Saccharomyces cerevisiae S288C: one gene and its partners. Changing the gene in region 4 together with the main gene of any one other region gives a genetic interaction. Each region holds a gene or a part of one and is shown on either strand. Other genes may lie near its edges.

What was found.
Region 1: mutations in UBP2 (region 4) and MUM2 together harm fitness more than expected from each alone (negative genetic interaction), as found in Saccharomyces cerevisiae (2 studies listed by BioGRID).
Region 2: mutations in UBP2 (region 4) and UBP14 together harm fitness more than expected from each alone (negative genetic interaction), as found in Saccharomyces cerevisiae (3 studies listed by BioGRID, with this or other methods).
Region 3: mutations in UBP2 (region 4) and MMR1 together harm fitness more than expected from each alone (negative genetic interaction), as found in Saccharomyces cerevisiae (3 studies listed by BioGRID).

The regions. Positions count from the first base shown.
Region 1 is NC_001134.8:351,465-355,277, reverse strand, and holds MUM2 (Mum2p), read left to right. Parts: upstream 1-1,984; coding exon 1,985-3,085; downstream 3,086-3,813. Other genes in the region: ubiquitin-specific protease UBP14, read left to right, coding at 1-1,606.
Region 2 is NC_001134.8:353,172-358,162, reverse strand, and holds UBP14 (ubiquitin-specific protease UBP14), read left to right. Parts: upstream 1-2,145; coding exon 2,146-4,491; downstream 4,492-4,991. Other genes in the region: serine/threonine protein kinase AKL1, read left to right, coding at 1-1,302; TSC3 (Tsc3p), read left to right, coding at 1,597-1,839; MUM2 (Mum2p), read left to right, coding at 4,870-4,991. UniProt on the Saccharomyces cerevisiae protein: Required for the adaptation to the presence of glucose in the growth medium; mediates the degradation of enzymes involved in gluconeogenesis when cells are shifted to glucose-containing medium.
Region 3 is NC_001144.5:533,419-537,338, reverse strand, and holds MMR1 (Mmr1p), read right to left. Parts: upstream 2,126-3,920; coding exon 650-2,125; downstream 1-649. Other genes in the region: peroxin PEX13, read right to left, coding at 1-67; ATG26 (sterol 3-beta-glucosyltransferase), read left to right, coding at 2,946-3,920. UniProt on the Saccharomyces cerevisiae protein: Involved in the guiding of mitochondrial tubules to the bud tip during cell division.
Region 4 is NC_001147.6:554,324-560,448, reverse strand, and holds UBP2 (ubiquitin-specific protease UBP2), read left to right. Parts: upstream 1-1,806; coding exon 1,807-5,625; downstream 5,626-6,125. Other genes in the region: IAH1 (isoamyl acetate-hydrolyzing esterase), read left to right, coding at 1-488; putative monooxygenase CAT5, read left to right, coding at 718-1,419; Paf1-complex subunit LEO1, read left to right, coding at 5,879-6,125. UniProt on the Saccharomyces cerevisiae protein: Has an ATP-independent isopeptidase activity, cleaving at the C-terminus of the ubiquitin moiety in natural or engineered linear fusion proteins, irrespective of their size or the presence of an N-terminal extension to ubiquitin.

The DNA of each region.
Region 1 (3,813 bases), on a different chromosome or scaffold from region 4:
AACCTATGATCTGTATTGTTACGCATGTGACGACGAAACTAGATTTCCAGATAATGTTAATTTAGGCAGTGCACTACAAATATACGGAATTAACATACAAGAAAAGATTGCGGATGAAAAGACTCTAGTTCAATTACAAGTGGAACAGAACGAAAATTGGCAATTTAGAATGGTCGATTCTAGCGGTAAAGAATTTGAAAAATTATCCGCTAGTAAGAATTATGGCTGTGGTCTGATCAATTTGGGTAATTCCTGTTACTTAAATTCGGTTATACAAAGCTTGGTGAATGGTGGCGTCCCGAATTGGTCCTTGGATTTTCTAGGAAGTAAATTTCCACTGGATGTTGTATATCCGGACAATAATTTAAAGTGCCAATGGATCAAGCTACTCAATGCCATGAAATGTGAACCCGAACTATATCCAAATGGTATCAAACCTACTACTTTCAAGAAATGCATTGGGCAAAATCATCAGGAATTCAGTTCCAATAGACAACAGGATGCGATGGAATTTCTAACCTTCCTTTTAGACTTGTTAGACAAGAAATTTTTTTCAAGTAGTTCTTCAGGTATTCCAAATCCCAACGATTTAGTTAGATTTATGATGGAGGATAGGCTCCAATGTAACATTTGCGGGAAGGTTAAATATTCTTATGAACCCACAGAGGCTATACAGATTCCCTTAGAGGAGAATGATGAACCTCAAGATATGTTAGAGAGAATCAAGGCGTATTTTGAAGGGCAGACGATTGAATTTAAATGTGCTAATTGTAAGGAAAAGGTTACCGCAAATAAAAAACCTGGTTTCAAATCTCTTCCTCAAACACTTATTTTGAACCCAATAAGGATTAGATTACAGAACTGGATTCCTGTTAAGACAAGTAATGAGCTTTCTTTACCAGGTTTAATAGACAGGGATGATATGCTAGATGTTTCGTCTTATTTATCACAAGGATTTGATCCTCAAACTGAAAACTTATTGCCTGATGAGGACGAAAACCGTAGCTCTTTTACGCCAAACCAATGCAGTATTTCTCAATTAATTGAAATGGGCTTTACTCAAAATGCTAGCGTGCGCGCCCTATTTAACACCGGAAACCAAGACGCTGAGAGCGCTATGAATTGGCTATTCCAGCATATGGATGACCCTGATTTAAATGATCCCTTTGTCCCGCCTCCTAATGTCCCCAAGAAAGATAAGAGAGAAGTGGATGAGGTATCATTGACTTCAATGTTATCCATGGGACTAAATCCCAACTTATGTCGTAAAGCCTTGATACTCAACAACGGAGATGTTAATCGTAGTGTTGAATGGGTATTTAACAACATGGATGATGATGGAACATTTCCCGAACCTGAAGTGCCAAATGAAGAACAGCAACAAAAAAAGGATCTTGGATATTCGACCGCTAAACCGTACGCTTTAACTGCAGTTATTTGTCATAAGGGAAATTCTGTCCATTCTGGTCACTATGTTGTTTTTATTCGTAAACTAGTGGCAGACAAATGGAAGTGGGTTCTTTATAACGATGAGAAACTAGTTGCTGCCGACAGCATTGAAGATATGAAAAAAAATGGTTATATTTATTTCTATACAAGATGCTAAAAGAACGTTTACACACACACACACACACACACACACATATATATATATATATATATATATATATATATATATATATTTTGCATTATATGTGTATGATCAAATCTATCGAGTTAAATATTTCTACATATTTCAGTAATAAATCCATTTCCATTAGCTATTTTGCAATGTTTTTTCTTTTTTTTTTTTGCTGCTGTTACCTTCGCCGCTAAAAAATCATTTAAAACAAGAAAAGAGTACATTGTTTGATGAAACAACAAGCAAGAAATGTAAACGATAGTCAAACTTAGTAAGAAGAGAATCAGCTGGCTTGGTACTTGATCTTTTGATTTGACCTCATTCTTTTTGCATACACGGCTCGTTTGGAATACTGTTGTAAAAATGAATTACATGGCTTATGATTATGATCCCCAACATTCGTTGGAAACGTCCTTTAACAATTTGGCATTTCATCCCCACCAACAGTCACAGCAACAAGCCCTATACGAATCTGGTGAAAGAAACGATGCCAGGCCGGGATTAATGAACACCTTAGGTCAGGCGAGTAAAATGAATAATTCCATGCTTCCTCAAGGTTCGTCGGCTAGTCCCTTAACGGGTCAACATAGCTTGAACAGTACAACAAATTTCAACATGCCCCCATCAATGAATACCTATAATTACCAGAATGTACCACAAGCATCTATGAGAAATACTCTCAATCATAACAATATCATGAATGGGGCAACTGCTAATGATTATTGGCTGGATCCAATGAATAATATGACAAATAACAAGGATACTAATGGGAATCCTAATGACTCGATGTCATCAATGTCTAATATGACCGCTAAAACCTCAATCAATAGTACGGCATTCAAGAATTCATTTGTTCCTTTTAATCATGTGACAGCGCTCTCAATGAATAATGTCAACAGCAATGAGATGAATTCAAATAAAGATGACAGAATGGAAGCATTGGAAGTAGAACTACAAATAAAGGAAAGTCAAATCGAATCACTCGAGAACGAAATTCAAAGGCTAAAGAAAATTTTCAACGAGGGGCTAAACTACAAGCAGAATGAGCATAAGTATGAGAAGGAAAACTGCCATATACCCCAAACTTTCGAATTGCCAGCTTCCTTGGAAGTGATATTCAGAAAACTGTCATCGTCACTGCATGCAAAGGAAAAGGAGTTAGCAGAGACGAAAGAAAATCTGGAAAGTATATTAACTGCACTGGCGCTAAATCCAACAAATTCAGTGACTAAGTATGGCAGGTATGATGCAGAATCGATTGCTCACAAAATGGTGGTAAGATTAGAAAACTTAACAAACGAGAACAAAGAAATGGCCAAGATGTTAGCATATGGCAGATCAAAAGAGACCCAAATTGAACTGCAGTTGGCCAAAAAAGAAAATCTAGAATTAAGAGAAAAAATCGCATCTTTGGAAGCCCATTTGGCTTCAAAGGAGTCTTCAAAGGAGGACGTTGCTAATTGAAAGAGGTTTACTCATTATCGAGAACATATGGCTAATTCTAAAAAACGAAAAAGAATAATATGCAAATATATAGATATGTGTATATGATACAAGCTTTTTTCATGAAAAATAAACGGAAGAGAATTTTTGCTTTTGTCCTACACGAGGAATGTATCAAAGACTATTACTTTTTTAAGTATGTTGTCTTAGATGGCTGAGTTTTATGCTTTTTCCAAAAAGAGCAACGTAGCTGTTATTTATTTACTTAGTTATTACCTCCAGATAACGTGTCTAATCTCTTACCTCTATTTATAAAAATTATTCATTAAAATACTATTGAAAATTGGAGTATATACTTACAAACGTATATATTTTTTTAGAAGCATCAAGGCAAGATCAAAGCTATGCCGCTTTGTTCCTGATGTTCTCCATTTTTTGCTGGCTTCATTAACAAAGACGTACTTTTAATCCTAGAGGTTCATAAAAGTGAACAATCAGTGTGAACTTTTATGGATATTACATAATACATTTAACGGCATTCCATTTAACAATAAAATTCAAATGTGCTCAGCTGTGATTCATTGAAATGATAGGATACATATTATTCGTTATGCCACTCGCAAACGTACAGCGGAAAATTTTGTGTGTGTAAATTATCTTGATGGTAACCACCGGAAACAATATAGGAAGACTACTCCACGAAGAAAAGCGTTCATGATGATACAAGGCAAACCACAGCTTACAAGGCA
Region 2 (4,991 bases), on a different chromosome or scaffold from region 4:
TACGCCACGAACTCCCAGTCAGGATATCTCCCAAGTCAAAATTCCCCAGCAATTCCAATGGTGAGACCTGTTATTTCCATGAATCAGCAGCAAGCGCAACAGATACAAGCCCAGCAATTGCAGGCACAACAGATGCAGGCAAAGCAACAGATGCAAGCCAAGCAGCAGATGCAAGTTCAGCAACAACTGCAAGTCCAACAGCAAATGCAAATTCAAAATGCAAATAATAATGGTACTTACGTCTCTGATAGAACAAATCATACCACAGAAGATATGAGAAATGCTCAGGGGGGTGAACCTCCAATTCTTGCAGGAAATTCTGCAAATGAACCAATGCACTCATCCTCTAAAAATGAAGCTCTCTTAATTGAACTATCTCCATTAAAAGAAGATGCAGGAAAGCAATCTTTCCAAGATACAAATGAGCCTCAAACTGGCGGTATCGAAGATGCCGGCGGTTCAGGAACTATCAAAGGCTCGAACAATAATCGAAATGGCGTTTTAAATTTAAGTTTGAATGAGATGGACTTATCAAGAGATGATACTGGTGCTGCTGTCTCCTCCTTTTCATCGTCTTCATCGTCTGCATCAATTCAACAAGCTAAGCTTTCTGGACGCAAAGGTTCCAGTAAGAGGAACAATTATTCAACAGACGAATTGGGAGATAGTATGGTCTCCAGCGAAAGCATTGATATTGATTTGGATGATGCAAGGAGAGGAAAAACAGCTGAAAGAAGACCACTCCATAATGAAAGAGGTCATAAAGACCAGGCAAGATCAAGTGATGCTAGTAAGTCTAATCAATTCAAAAGCAAGGACTTCAGCAGCGTATCAACAAGGCAACCGCGGCAGTCATTGGATCTGAATTTCCAGGAAGTAAATCTGTCTTCACCAACGTTAACTCAAGAGCATAGAAATAAAAACGACTCGCCAGCACCAAATTCACATCACTCGTATAGAGTTTCACCTCATGCTTCCACCGCAATAACTGAGAATAAGCGCCACAGTACTGGTCACGAACTGTCAACCCGGTCAAATGGCAAGCATGAAACACACAGGACTGGTTCCAAGCAAAGGCACGATTTGGAAAGATACCGGCATTCGAAGGATAAGGATAGCAATAGCAGCATTACTATTAGCACCTCAACTCCATCAGAGATGAGAAAATCCTTCGCTAGGGCCCGTCAATCGCTTGATTTGGAAAGGGTCCGTCGTGAAGCGATGGCAAGTAGTGCATCCAGTAGTGGTGGCAGTAACGGGAAAAGGAGATCTTTTTTCTCAGTCTTTAGAAGCGAGAAATGATTCGATAAATAGAGCACATATAAAATCATATACATACATTGTTACATATAGAGGCGCAGACAATCCGTATATCTTCCTCAAAAACTAAATTGATAGAACAATAGTAACTCAAATCATATGCATTAAGCATATCGTGCGAGATGACGTTTACTCCTGACGCGCTTAACGAGAAGCGGTTAAGTGAAGAGTAATAGTGCTCGCAATTTGACAGAAATGACACCATTTTAAAAGTACTAGAGATAAAGAGTGTAGAAACCGGAAGAACAAAGGTGGAACATATCATAAGGGGAAGAAATGACACAACATAAAAGCTCGATGGTGTACATACCCACCACTAAGGAAGCTAAAAGACGTAATGGGAAATCAGAAGGCATACTAAATACTATTGAAGAAGTGGTGGAAAAGCTTTATTGGACCTACTACATACATTTACCCTTTTATTTAATGGCCTCTTTTGATTCATTCTTCCTCCATGTTTTTTTTCTCACAATTTTCAGTTTGAGTTTCTTCGGTATACTAAAGTATTGCTTCCTTTGAATGATTATTTATATCCTTATTCGGTTAATAATAGTATAAGCTGGAGGCAAGGGGACAGAAAATTTAGGAGGATATCATGGAGGATAGAGTTACATAAATATACACACAATACATAAACTAATAATTGCTTGTGGCTATAGGATATAATTTATAACAGTTGATGTGCCTTTGAAAAATGACATCGTTTGGAATGAGATCAAATTTATCACTTGATGAAATCACAGTGAAAAGCGACTTGCAATGGCAGTAGAGATGACAGGTAAATTCATCCAAAAAGAGAGCCCGAAGTCTTTCTCACATTCAGAAATGGCAGAAGCAGTACTAGAAAACGTTAACGTTCCTGCAGTCGTTTCAAAAGATGAGTGTATTTATTGCTTTGAATCCCCTTATAATGAACCATTGGCCCTCAATGCATCACCTAAACATTCATTGAATATATGCTTAAACTGTTTCCAAGCTACGTGCAACAGACATGTTCCACTCCATATCCGAGTCACAGAATATGCTTGCGATACCATACATTCCAATTATTTAACTATTGCTAAAGTGGAGAAACCTAAGCAAGAAAATGTAGAAGAAAATAATAACAACAAAAAAATAAAGCTACAGGTAATTGAGACGTCAGAAGACGACACCCACAACACTATTTGGAGTTTACAAAGGTTCAATGGTGAAAATGTTCCCAGGACCGTACTTTCGAAGTCGACAGACTCTGACATTTCTTCTACGGCCTTGGAGAAGATTGAAAAGATATTAAAGGCGAAGTCACAAGACTTCGAGGATAAGAAGAACTCCTGGGTGTTAGAAATCAGCACCTGTCCACATACAGAAAACTTTCAAATTCCATCTAAGCCCGAAAATACTGTGAATTTAAACCAATGCTCTTCCTGTGATTTGACTCAAAATCTCTGGTTATGCCTACATTGTGGTAATATCGGATGTGGCAGGGAACAAATCGGGATTGATGGTCACTCGCATGCTTTGGATCATTATCGGAGTAATAATAATCACCCATTAGCTATCAAATTAGGGTCTTTAAGCTCTTCAACCTATGATCTGTATTGTTACGCATGTGACGACGAAACTAGATTTCCAGATAATGTTAATTTAGGCAGTGCACTACAAATATACGGAATTAACATACAAGAAAAGATTGCGGATGAAAAGACTCTAGTTCAATTACAAGTGGAACAGAACGAAAATTGGCAATTTAGAATGGTCGATTCTAGCGGTAAAGAATTTGAAAAATTATCCGCTAGTAAGAATTATGGCTGTGGTCTGATCAATTTGGGTAATTCCTGTTACTTAAATTCGGTTATACAAAGCTTGGTGAATGGTGGCGTCCCGAATTGGTCCTTGGATTTTCTAGGAAGTAAATTTCCACTGGATGTTGTATATCCGGACAATAATTTAAAGTGCCAATGGATCAAGCTACTCAATGCCATGAAATGTGAACCCGAACTATATCCAAATGGTATCAAACCTACTACTTTCAAGAAATGCATTGGGCAAAATCATCAGGAATTCAGTTCCAATAGACAACAGGATGCGATGGAATTTCTAACCTTCCTTTTAGACTTGTTAGACAAGAAATTTTTTTCAAGTAGTTCTTCAGGTATTCCAAATCCCAACGATTTAGTTAGATTTATGATGGAGGATAGGCTCCAATGTAACATTTGCGGGAAGGTTAAATATTCTTATGAACCCACAGAGGCTATACAGATTCCCTTAGAGGAGAATGATGAACCTCAAGATATGTTAGAGAGAATCAAGGCGTATTTTGAAGGGCAGACGATTGAATTTAAATGTGCTAATTGTAAGGAAAAGGTTACCGCAAATAAAAAACCTGGTTTCAAATCTCTTCCTCAAACACTTATTTTGAACCCAATAAGGATTAGATTACAGAACTGGATTCCTGTTAAGACAAGTAATGAGCTTTCTTTACCAGGTTTAATAGACAGGGATGATATGCTAGATGTTTCGTCTTATTTATCACAAGGATTTGATCCTCAAACTGAAAACTTATTGCCTGATGAGGACGAAAACCGTAGCTCTTTTACGCCAAACCAATGCAGTATTTCTCAATTAATTGAAATGGGCTTTACTCAAAATGCTAGCGTGCGCGCCCTATTTAACACCGGAAACCAAGACGCTGAGAGCGCTATGAATTGGCTATTCCAGCATATGGATGACCCTGATTTAAATGATCCCTTTGTCCCGCCTCCTAATGTCCCCAAGAAAGATAAGAGAGAAGTGGATGAGGTATCATTGACTTCAATGTTATCCATGGGACTAAATCCCAACTTATGTCGTAAAGCCTTGATACTCAACAACGGAGATGTTAATCGTAGTGTTGAATGGGTATTTAACAACATGGATGATGATGGAACATTTCCCGAACCTGAAGTGCCAAATGAAGAACAGCAACAAAAAAAGGATCTTGGATATTCGACCGCTAAACCGTACGCTTTAACTGCAGTTATTTGTCATAAGGGAAATTCTGTCCATTCTGGTCACTATGTTGTTTTTATTCGTAAACTAGTGGCAGACAAATGGAAGTGGGTTCTTTATAACGATGAGAAACTAGTTGCTGCCGACAGCATTGAAGATATGAAAAAAAATGGTTATATTTATTTCTATACAAGATGCTAAAAGAACGTTTACACACACACACACACACACACACACATATATATATATATATATATATATATATATATATATATATTTTGCATTATATGTGTATGATCAAATCTATCGAGTTAAATATTTCTACATATTTCAGTAATAAATCCATTTCCATTAGCTATTTTGCAATGTTTTTTCTTTTTTTTTTTTGCTGCTGTTACCTTCGCCGCTAAAAAATCATTTAAAACAAGAAAAGAGTACATTGTTTGATGAAACAACAAGCAAGAAATGTAAACGATAGTCAAACTTAGTAAGAAGAGAATCAGCTGGCTTGGTACTTGATCTTTTGATTTGACCTCATTCTTTTTGCATACACGGCTCGTTTGGAATACTGTTGTAAAAATGAATTACATGGCTTATGATTATGATCCCCAACATTCGTTGGAAACGTCCTTTAACAATTTGGCATTTCATCCCCACCAACAGTCACAGCAACAAGCCCTATACGAATCTGGTGAAAGAAA
Region 3 (3,920 bases), on a different chromosome or scaffold from region 4:
GCTGTGGCTCCTCTAACGAAGCACTGGTCTCCCAAGGTTTAGGTCGTGGTACTGCTGTGGATGACATCGCAGGTATTGTTATAGTATAGAATCCCCTTGATATTTATAGATAGTATATGCACTTTCGAAATTGTTGTTCATTTCCACATGCGTTTGCTCACCAACTATCTGATATAATTAATATTAGTCCGGCGGGCTTCGGAAATAAAAAAAATTTGGCCCGCTGAAAAAGGTGTCATTAATCAGATAAAAGAAGACTTTATTATATCATTTTTTTTGGTAATTAATGTATTTAAGTATAGGTTGAATAAACTTGAATGCAATATATAAATTATGTGTTTGTGATACCAGTCACACCGTGATTGGATTTTCTATTCAGCTTTTAAAAGCGGGGTATTTGCTTAGACGACACTATGAATAAATAGCTGCAGCATTCGACGTTGTAAGAAAAAAGATTAAATCACACGACAAGCCCTTTGAAGTTCAGTAATATTCAAATAAAAATTGTCCAATGAGAAGGATGGATAACGGAGAAATCACGCACATTGCAGATGCGTAACTCGATAGCCTACAATACAAAGCGCCTATCAGCATTGATGTATTGTGAATGTTTGTGTAAAATAAGTTAATTTAATTTGAAGTTGACGCTTCATTTTTCCTTCTTCTCCACTTGGACAGGAAGGTTAAGTTGGAAACCTCTTTTACTTTCCCCACTCTGCACAGATGCTGTTGTGGAAATAGCAGAAGTTGGCTCCTCTTCAAAAGCAACATTTAAATCTTCGCTAGTATTAGCATCCGTATCATCGTTTGTTAGATGATCTTCCTCGGACGAAGTTCCCGAAGAAGAATCTGGCTGTTCTTCAATTTTCTTTAGGTCTAAAACAGAAACGCGTGCCAGTCTAGTCTTAGGGCATGGGATTCTTGCTGAATTTCCTTCAGTTTTTGAAGTGGAGGTGGCCACTACTGCGGAGGATTCAGTCAATTTCTTAAGAACTTTTTTACAATTGAAGAATTTTTTCTCCAGTTGCTTGACTTTTCTCTCAATATCTCTTTGGGATCTTTGAGCCTGTATACTAGGATCCTTCATAACCTCAAGCATAAATCTTTCTTCAATGTATCTGTTCGTCGTCATGGAATGCACTAATTTTTCATTCTGCAACTTTAATTCTGTAATTTCAAGTTCTAGCTGCTTGATCTTTATGTCTAAATTCGATTTTTCACGACTATTTGCCTCCTCTGCATTGGCCATAGAGGCCATTTGCATTGAAATATGTTGTTGTCCGTCACACCATTCGGGCTCATAGTCCGTCGACGTAGACGAGATAAAGCTATATCTGTTGTTGTTGTTATTGCCTTTGAGACCATATTGAACGAACCCGTTATTATCCGTAGGTAAATTGTCTAGATTCAGATCCTTAGGCAATTCGTTCACTTCGGTGCTTAGACACTGAGTGGAGCCGCCGGAGACGACTCTAAGTCCTTTGTCCTCGACCTTTCGCACCCCATGATTTTCTGGATCTTCCAAAGGAGTAGCAGGAACAGGAACGTATGAGGGGAGCAACCCTTCGGCGTTTTTCCGTAATATCGGTTCTTCCGCACAGACTTTGGCCTCAAATGAAGGGGGATTGCGTTCTTTCTTTTGTACTTGCGCAACGGATTCTGAACTGCGCAGCTGCTCTAGTTTGTCCTTGATGCTTTGTTTAATGATGTTTTTCTCTATGTTCAATGGATCAGGGTTTGAATTCTGGCCTTCACTAGTAGTTTTCTTGCTATTCTTCAATAGGGCAGATAGCAATGGCAGATTACTGGTTGTTTGAGATAGGTACTCGGGTTTTAACATCTTTGGAGTGTTGTTCAAAAACTGAAACCTAATAGGCGATACAGACCTCATAGTGTCAGAGCCCCTTCTTTGTTTAGAACGTCCACCTCTTGATAACTCGCTCAATTTAGAGAGTGATGTTGGATATAACAAGGAATTACCAATCGGGCCAGTGTCTAATTTTAGCTTCGTAGGTGAGTTCAATAGATTTTGAAAAGAGCCTGCATTTCTTTGGTCATCCAAACAAAAGGACATTGGTGAGAGTTTTGGAGTAAGTTGTTCCGATTTCATTGTTGGAGAATTCATTTTTTTAGTTGTTTAGTTTATTAGTTGTGTTTTTTTTTTTTGATTTTGCAATGAGTACTGGCTTGTAACAAGTTAAAAGAAAAGAAGATTAGTTAAGAACAACGGAATTGAAACGAAAGTAAAATAGTTGGAACCGAGGATAACTATGTTGATTTAAAAGACTTCACACGCGATTCTTTTTCCTTACTGCTATTTAGGAAGATGTGCCCCTCCAAACCTTTCCTTTATTCCCAAGGCAATCAAAATAACAGAAAATACAGCAGTAATAAAGCTTAATTCTCTAGGCTCACTTAAACTGAGCAACAATTTGTTGATCGTACGTGTTATTTAATACTATCAGGAAAAAATAATCTAAATGTGAGAAAAACTTCTATCTGTAACCACTTTGTCTTGAATGAACGTAGAAAATTTAAAAACGATCAAGCTTGCGTGAGAGAACTTGTAAAGTAAGGAAATCTGATTTCTAAACCCATAATGATTCTTCATCGAGCTTTCTTGCCAATTGGCTAATTAGAACTCTTTTTAGTTTATTTCCCGAAAGGGGTATTTATATTTTGCCCGTTTGGGACAAAATTAACCCTGCTTACACCAGGGTTTATCTAGAAATAAAATAGGTCATTGTTTTGAGATGACTTGGAAAAACTTAACCCTGATGTGACTGTAACATAACATCTAAGAAAAAAGGGACTAAAAGTCAACAGAAGGAGTAGATCGGAAAGTCATTGCATTTATCACTGATAAAGTCATGGCTGTCAAAAAGTAAACATCAGAAGTTCAGTTGCACTTTATGCTTTGGTGAAAATCCGTATAACTTAAAAGAATGCCCATCACTCAAATCATATCAGCGTCTGATAGCGAGGCGGGGCCAAAACCAAGCATTTCGTTGGTACCTGATAAGCCATCTGAGCCAGAAACTTCCCCTAGGCATCATCGCCTTTCAAGGTCACTTTCGAAGTTCAAGCGCTGGAGAGGAAGATCAAATAGCAGTTTATCGATGGGGTCGTCTGAGCAGCAAGAACTGCAGGACAGTCCAAATGAAGCCCGTAGTGATGATGACGAAAACGGTTACAATAACGATAATGCAGATGACTTGGCGAAATCCAAGTATATGATGAAAAGTATTGCCGGTTTATTAACTACTGCTAGTGTGTATGCAGGGATGAATAATGCTCAAGAAATGAATGTGTTGTCGCAAGTTGATTCTGAAGAATCTGATTCCAGTGATAGTTTCCAGGAAAACATTGGTCGAAATGAGGTAAAAAGCAAAAAGGAAAATCTCAAAACTAAATCGCATCCGGAAGTACCAAGATTAGACAAAAGAAAGCCAACTTTATTCGACTTCTCAATAACTAGGGAAAAACTGTCAAAAGACAATGTGGCTAAGTTGAGACAGCGGTTTTGTTTAGACGAACAGGAACCATTTTTGAATGATTTCCCTGCATGGCTACTTAAAGATGTGTTGGTTCAAGGCCATATTTTTATTACAACAAAACATTTCCTATTCTTTGCATATTTACCTAAGAATCCTCGGTCGGTTAAAATGTCTGGAAACCTTAATATCAGGACAAAACTAATTAGGTCTACCAGGTATTGGTGCGTACTAAAGAATCATTTATTTTCTATGTATACCTCATCAACTGAGCTATACTTTCCGGTTTTAACCATAGATTTGAGGGAGGTCCAAAAAATTGAAACACAAAAACATACCTTAAACGGGAGTGCTACGAAAACATTTAAGCTTTACACAGATGAAAGTACATTCAAATTCAATGCAGATTCAGAGTTCTCCGCTAAA
Region 4 (6,125 bases):
CAATATTTTTGGGTGCCAACGATGCATGCTCAGCAGGTCCCCAAAGTGTCCCCCTCCCCGAATTTATCGATAATATTCGTCAAATGGTATCTTTGATGAAGTCTTACCATATCCGTCCTATTATAATAGGACCGGGGCTAGTAGATAGAGAGAAGTGGGAAAAAGAAAAATCTGAAGAAATAGCTCTCGGATACTTCCGTACCAACGAGAACTTTGCCATTTATTCCGATGCCTTAGCAAAACTAGCCAATGAGGAAAAAGTTCCCTTCGTGGCTTTGAATAAGGCGTTTCAACAGGAAGGTGGTGATGCTTGGCAACAACTGCTAACAGATGGACTGCACTTTTCCGGAAAAGGGTACAAAATTTTTCATGACGAATTATTGAAGGTCATTGAGACATTCTACCCCCAATATCATCCCAAAAACATGCAGTACAAACTGAAAGATTGGAGAGATGTGCTAGATGATGGATCTAACATAATGTCTTGAATGCAGTAATCCTTTGTACGTACTCTGTCTATATTTCCCTAACTTTTAAGCAACTGTATAATTTTTCATATACGGGATTTTCAGGAAAAAAAACAATAGAAATCTATAAAACATGTTTCCTTATTTTTACAGACGAGAGTTTTATTCTTGTGAAAACGTCGTTATCTTCTCCTCCAAACCAATTCAAGGAATAAAGATATCACGTATACGGGAGAGATACATAGAAATTATGTTATCCCGTGTTTCAGTTTTCAAACCTGCCAGCAGAGGCTTTTCCGTCTTATCATCTTTAAAGATAACAGAACATACATCAGCAAAACACACCGAAAAACCTGAGCATGCTCCCAAGTGTCAGAATTTATCAGATGCTCAGGCTGCATTTTTGGACCGTGTTATTCGTGTAGATCAAGCTGGCGAATTAGGTGCAGACTACATCTACGCTGGCCAGTACTTCGTGTTGGCTCATAGGTACCCTCACTTGAAACCTGTGCTAAAGCACATATGGGACCAGGAGATACATCATCATAATACTTTTAACAATTTGCAATTGAAAAGGAGAGTCAGGCCTTCCTTATTAACGCCTTTGTGGAAGGCAGGAGCCTTTGCAATGGGGGCTGGTACCGCATTGATTTCTCCAGAAGCAGCTATGGCTTGTACTGAAGCTGTCGAGACAGTAATCGGAGGGCACTACAATGGCCAATTGCGAAACTTGGCCAATCAATTCAATTTAGAAAGAACAGATGGAACAAAGGGTCCAAGTGAGGAAATCAAATCCTTAACTTCTACTATCCAACAGTTCAGGGATGACGAGCTAGAGCATCTAGACACCGCTATCAAGCATGATTCGTATATGGCAGTTCCATATACAGTTATCACTGAAGGTATTAAAACGATTTGCAGAGTAGCTATATGGAGTGCCGAAAGAATTTAACCACCAGAAAGTGGCATACATCAGTCGCGTTATGCCAGAAAAGGAGAATTGAAAGGAAAACGGTTTGATAAATGTCCTAATTAAACTATCATGTATAAAATTATGTATCATCCTTACGCATTTTAACGCTATATGACCAATATGACAGGAATAGATACACTGTCTATAATTATGTAAATGGGGTATGGGTTCATAGTCTAAGGGTGAGTACAAACTGGATCTTTAACAAGAGTAACAGTTAATTAGAGCAAAACTATAGTACATATAGCTTGAAAAAAACAAGCGGCTTGCCATTGGAAGAACATTGCATAAAAACGGGGCCACTGCTAATAATAAAGTGGTAATTAAAAAGAAAGCTTTTGTTCAAGGTTAAGAAGGTATAAGGAAATGCCGAACGAAGATAATGAACTTCAAAAAGCAATTGAGAACCATCATAATCAACTACTAAACCAGGATAAAGAAAATGCTGACAGAAATGGGTCTGTTATAGAAGACCTCCCATTATACGGGACAAGTATAAACCAGCAGTCTACCCCTGGAGATGTTGACGATGGAAAACACTTACTGTATCCAGATATTGCCACCAACCTACCACTGAAGACTTCTGACAGACTTTTGGACGATATACTTTGCGATACTATTTTTCTCAATTCTACAGACCCGAAGGTCATGCAAAAGGGCCTGCAATCGAGGGGTATTTTAAAAGAGTCTATGCTTTCTTACTCAACTTTCAGAAGTAGTATTCGCCCTAACTGCTTGGGTTCATTAACTGATCAAGTGGTTTTTCAAACAAAATCCGAGTATGATTCCATTTCATGCCCAAAATATAATAAAATACATGTATTTCAGGCGGTCATCTTTAATCCATCACTGGCAGAACAGCAAATTTCAACTTTTGATGATATTGTTAAAATTCCTATTTATCATCTTAAGGTTAGCGTAAAAGTCCGCCAAGAACTGGAGCGGTTGAAGAAGCATGTCGGTGTTACTCAATTCCACTCACTAGATCATTTGCACGAATACGATCGAGTAGACCTTTCGACTTTTGATTCTTCCGATCCTAATTTGTTGGATTACGGTATTTACGTTTCTGATGATACTAACAAACTGATCTTGATTGAAATTTTTAAACCCGAGTTTAATTCACCTGAAGAGCATGAGAGTTTTACTGCCGACGCAATTAAGAAGAGATACAATGCTATGTGTGTAAAAAATGAATCACTAGATAAAAGCGAGACGCCATCTCAAGTTGACTGTTTTTACACACTTTTTAAAATTTTTAAAGGGCCTTTGACGAGGAAAAGTAAAGCGGAACCTACAAAGACAATTGATTCTGGAAATTTGGCCCTTAACACTCACCTGAATCCTGAATGGTTAACGTCCAAGTATGGATTTCAAGCAAGCTCAGAAATCGATGAGGAAACTAATGAGATATTTACTGAATACGTCCCTCCAGATATGGTGGACTATGTAAACGATTTGGAGACAAGAAAAATTCGAGAATCGTTTGTGAGGAAGTGTTTACAACTGATATTTTGGGGTCAACTATCTACCTCATTACTGGCACCTAATTCTCCCTTGAAAAATACGAAAAGCGTAAAGGGAATGTCTTCATTACAAACTTCTTTCTCAACACTACCTTGGTTCCATTTATTGGGAGAATCCAGAGCAAGGATTCTATTAAATTCCAATGAGCAAACTCATTCGCCTTTGGACGCAGAACCTCATTTTATTAATCTTTCCGTTTCGCATTATTATACCGATAGAGATATAATCAGAAACTACGAATCTTTGTCTTCTTTGGATCCTGAAAATATTGGGCTGTATTTTGACGCACTGACATACATTGCAAATAGGAAGGGGGCATATCAATTGATTGCTTACTGTGGAAAACAGGACATTATAGGCCAAGAAGCTCTAGAAAATGCTTTGTTAATGTTTAAAATTAACCCTAAAGAGTGTAACATCTCCGAATTAAATGAGGCGACTTTGCTATCTATTTACAAATATGAAACATCAAATAAGAGCCAAGTAACCTCTAATCACCTAACAAATTTGAAAAATGCTCTAAGATTGTTGGCCAAATATACCAAATCTGACAAACTAAAATTTTACGTCGATCATGAGCCCTACAGAGCTTTATCCCAGGCATACGACACACTTTCAATTGACGAGTCTGTTGATGAAGACATTATAAAAACTGCATATTCGGTCAAGATTAACGACTCTCCCGGATTAAAGTTGGATTGTGATAGAGCACTTTACACCATTGCTATCAGTAAAAGAAGCCTTGATTTGTTCAATTTTTTAACAGAGGAATGCCCACAGTTTTCCAACTATTATGGTCCAGAGAAGCTTGATTACCAAGAGGCATTGAAGCTTCTTCAAGTGAATGAAAATGCCTCTGACGAAACCATTTTGAAAATCTTTAAACAAAAGTGGTTTGATGAAAACGTTTATGAGCCTGACCAATTTCTTATTTTGAGGGCAGCATTGACCAAAATCAGTATAGAAAGAAATTCAACTTTAATCACCAACTTCTTACTAACTGGTACGATAGATCCAAATTCCTTGCCGCCAGAAAATTGGCCAACTGGCATTAATAATATCGGGAACACCTGTTACCTAAATTCTTTATTACAATATTACTTTTCCATTGCGCCACTAAGAAGATATGTATTGGAATATCAAAAAACGGTAGAAAATTTCAATGACCACCTCTCTAATAGTGGGCATATTAGAAGAATTGGTGGAAGAGAAATTAGTAGAGGCGAAGTGGAAAGATCTATTCAATTCATATACCAACTTCGCAACCTTTTCTATGCGATGGTTCATACAAGAGAAAGATGTGTAACACCCTCAAAAGAGCTAGCATATTTGGCATTTGCTCCAAGTAATGTTGAAGTAGAATTTGAAGTGGAAGGCAATAAAGTAGTTGATCAAACAGGAGTTCTTTCGGATTCAAAGAAGGAAACAACGGATGACGCATTTACTACAAAAATAAAGGATACAAGCCTGATTGATTTAGAAATGGAAGATGGCCTTAATGGCGATGTTGGTACAGATGCGAACAGAAAAAAAAATGAATCGAATGATGCTGAAGTAAGTGAGAACGAAGATACAACAGGATTAACTTCACCTACGCGTGTGGCAAAAATCAGTTCTGATCAATTAGAAAATGCTTTGGAAATGGGTAGGCAACAAGATGTTACTGAATGCATAGGAAACGTGTTATTTCAGATAGAAAGCGGTTCAGAGCCTATCCGATATGATGAAGACAACGAGCAATATGACTTGGTTAAGCAACTATTTTATGGTACTACTAAACAAAGTATTGTTCCTTTGTCCGCAACAAATAAAGTCCGTACGAAAGTTGAAAGATTCCTATCGTTACTGATAAATATTGGCGATCATCCTAAAGATATTTATGATGCGTTTGATTCTTATTTTAAAGACGAATATCTGACAATGGAAGAGTATGGTGATGTTATACGTACCGTTGCTGTTACAACTTTTCCTACTATTTTGCAGGTACAAATCCAAAGAGTTTATTACGATCGTGAAAGATTAATGCCGTTTAAATCCATTGAGCCCTTACCATTCAAAGAAGTTATTTACATGGACAGATACGCGGATACAGAGAACCCTTTATTGTTGGCAAAAAAGAAAGAAACAGAAGAAATGAAGCAAAAGTTGAAGGTAATGAAAAATAGACAAAGAGAGCTTTTGAGTCGTGATGATTCAGGGCTTACAAGGAAGGATGCATTTTTGGAGAGTATCAAGCTATTGGAATCGGATACCATAAAGAAAACTCCTTTAAAAATTGAGGCTGCTAATGATGTGATAAAGACGCTGAGAAACAACGTTCAAAATATCGATAATGAATTGATGAAATTATACAATGATATCAACAGTTTGGAAGAGAAAATAAGCCATCAATTTGACGATTTCAAGGAATATGGTTACTCACTGTTTTCGGTTTTTATTCATCGCGGCGAGGCCAGTTATGGTCACTATTGGATATATATCAAGGACAGAAATCGCAATGGAATTTGGAGGAAGTACAATGATGAAACCATCAGTGAGGTCCAGGAAGAGGAGGTCTTCAATTTCAATGAGGGTAACACTGCAACTCCATATTTCCTAGTATATGTCAAACAAGGACAAGAAGGTGATATTGAGCCATTGAAAAGAATTCTAAAGTAGTCTTAGTCAATGAAGAGTTTATGTAAAATGTCACTATTGCCATAAGTACCATTATTATGTAAAAAGCTTTGCCATATTCAATCGTTACGGGTGACTATCTGCTACGTAAAGAAAAACGAAAAAACAAAAAAAAAAAGAACAAGCTCATAGAAGTGAATACGAAAGCTGAAGAAAGTCGTTAAGTAGATAGGTTGCGTAAACTAGGTGCGTCCAATCAAAGTAATCCAATTAGATATACTGGACTATAATTAAGATGTCATCTGAAAGCCCACAGGATCAACCACAGAAGGAGCAAATCAGCAATAACGTCGGCGTTACCACCAATAGTACAAGCAATGAGGAAACAAGCCGCTCTCAAGATGATAATGTCAAGGAAGTCAATGGAAATGATGATACTAAAGAAGAGGAACAAGAAGAAGACGCAGAACTAGATGATTTATTTGGAGATGACAATGATGACGATGATGATGATGATGTTAAAAAATCGGAGACTGAAAAAA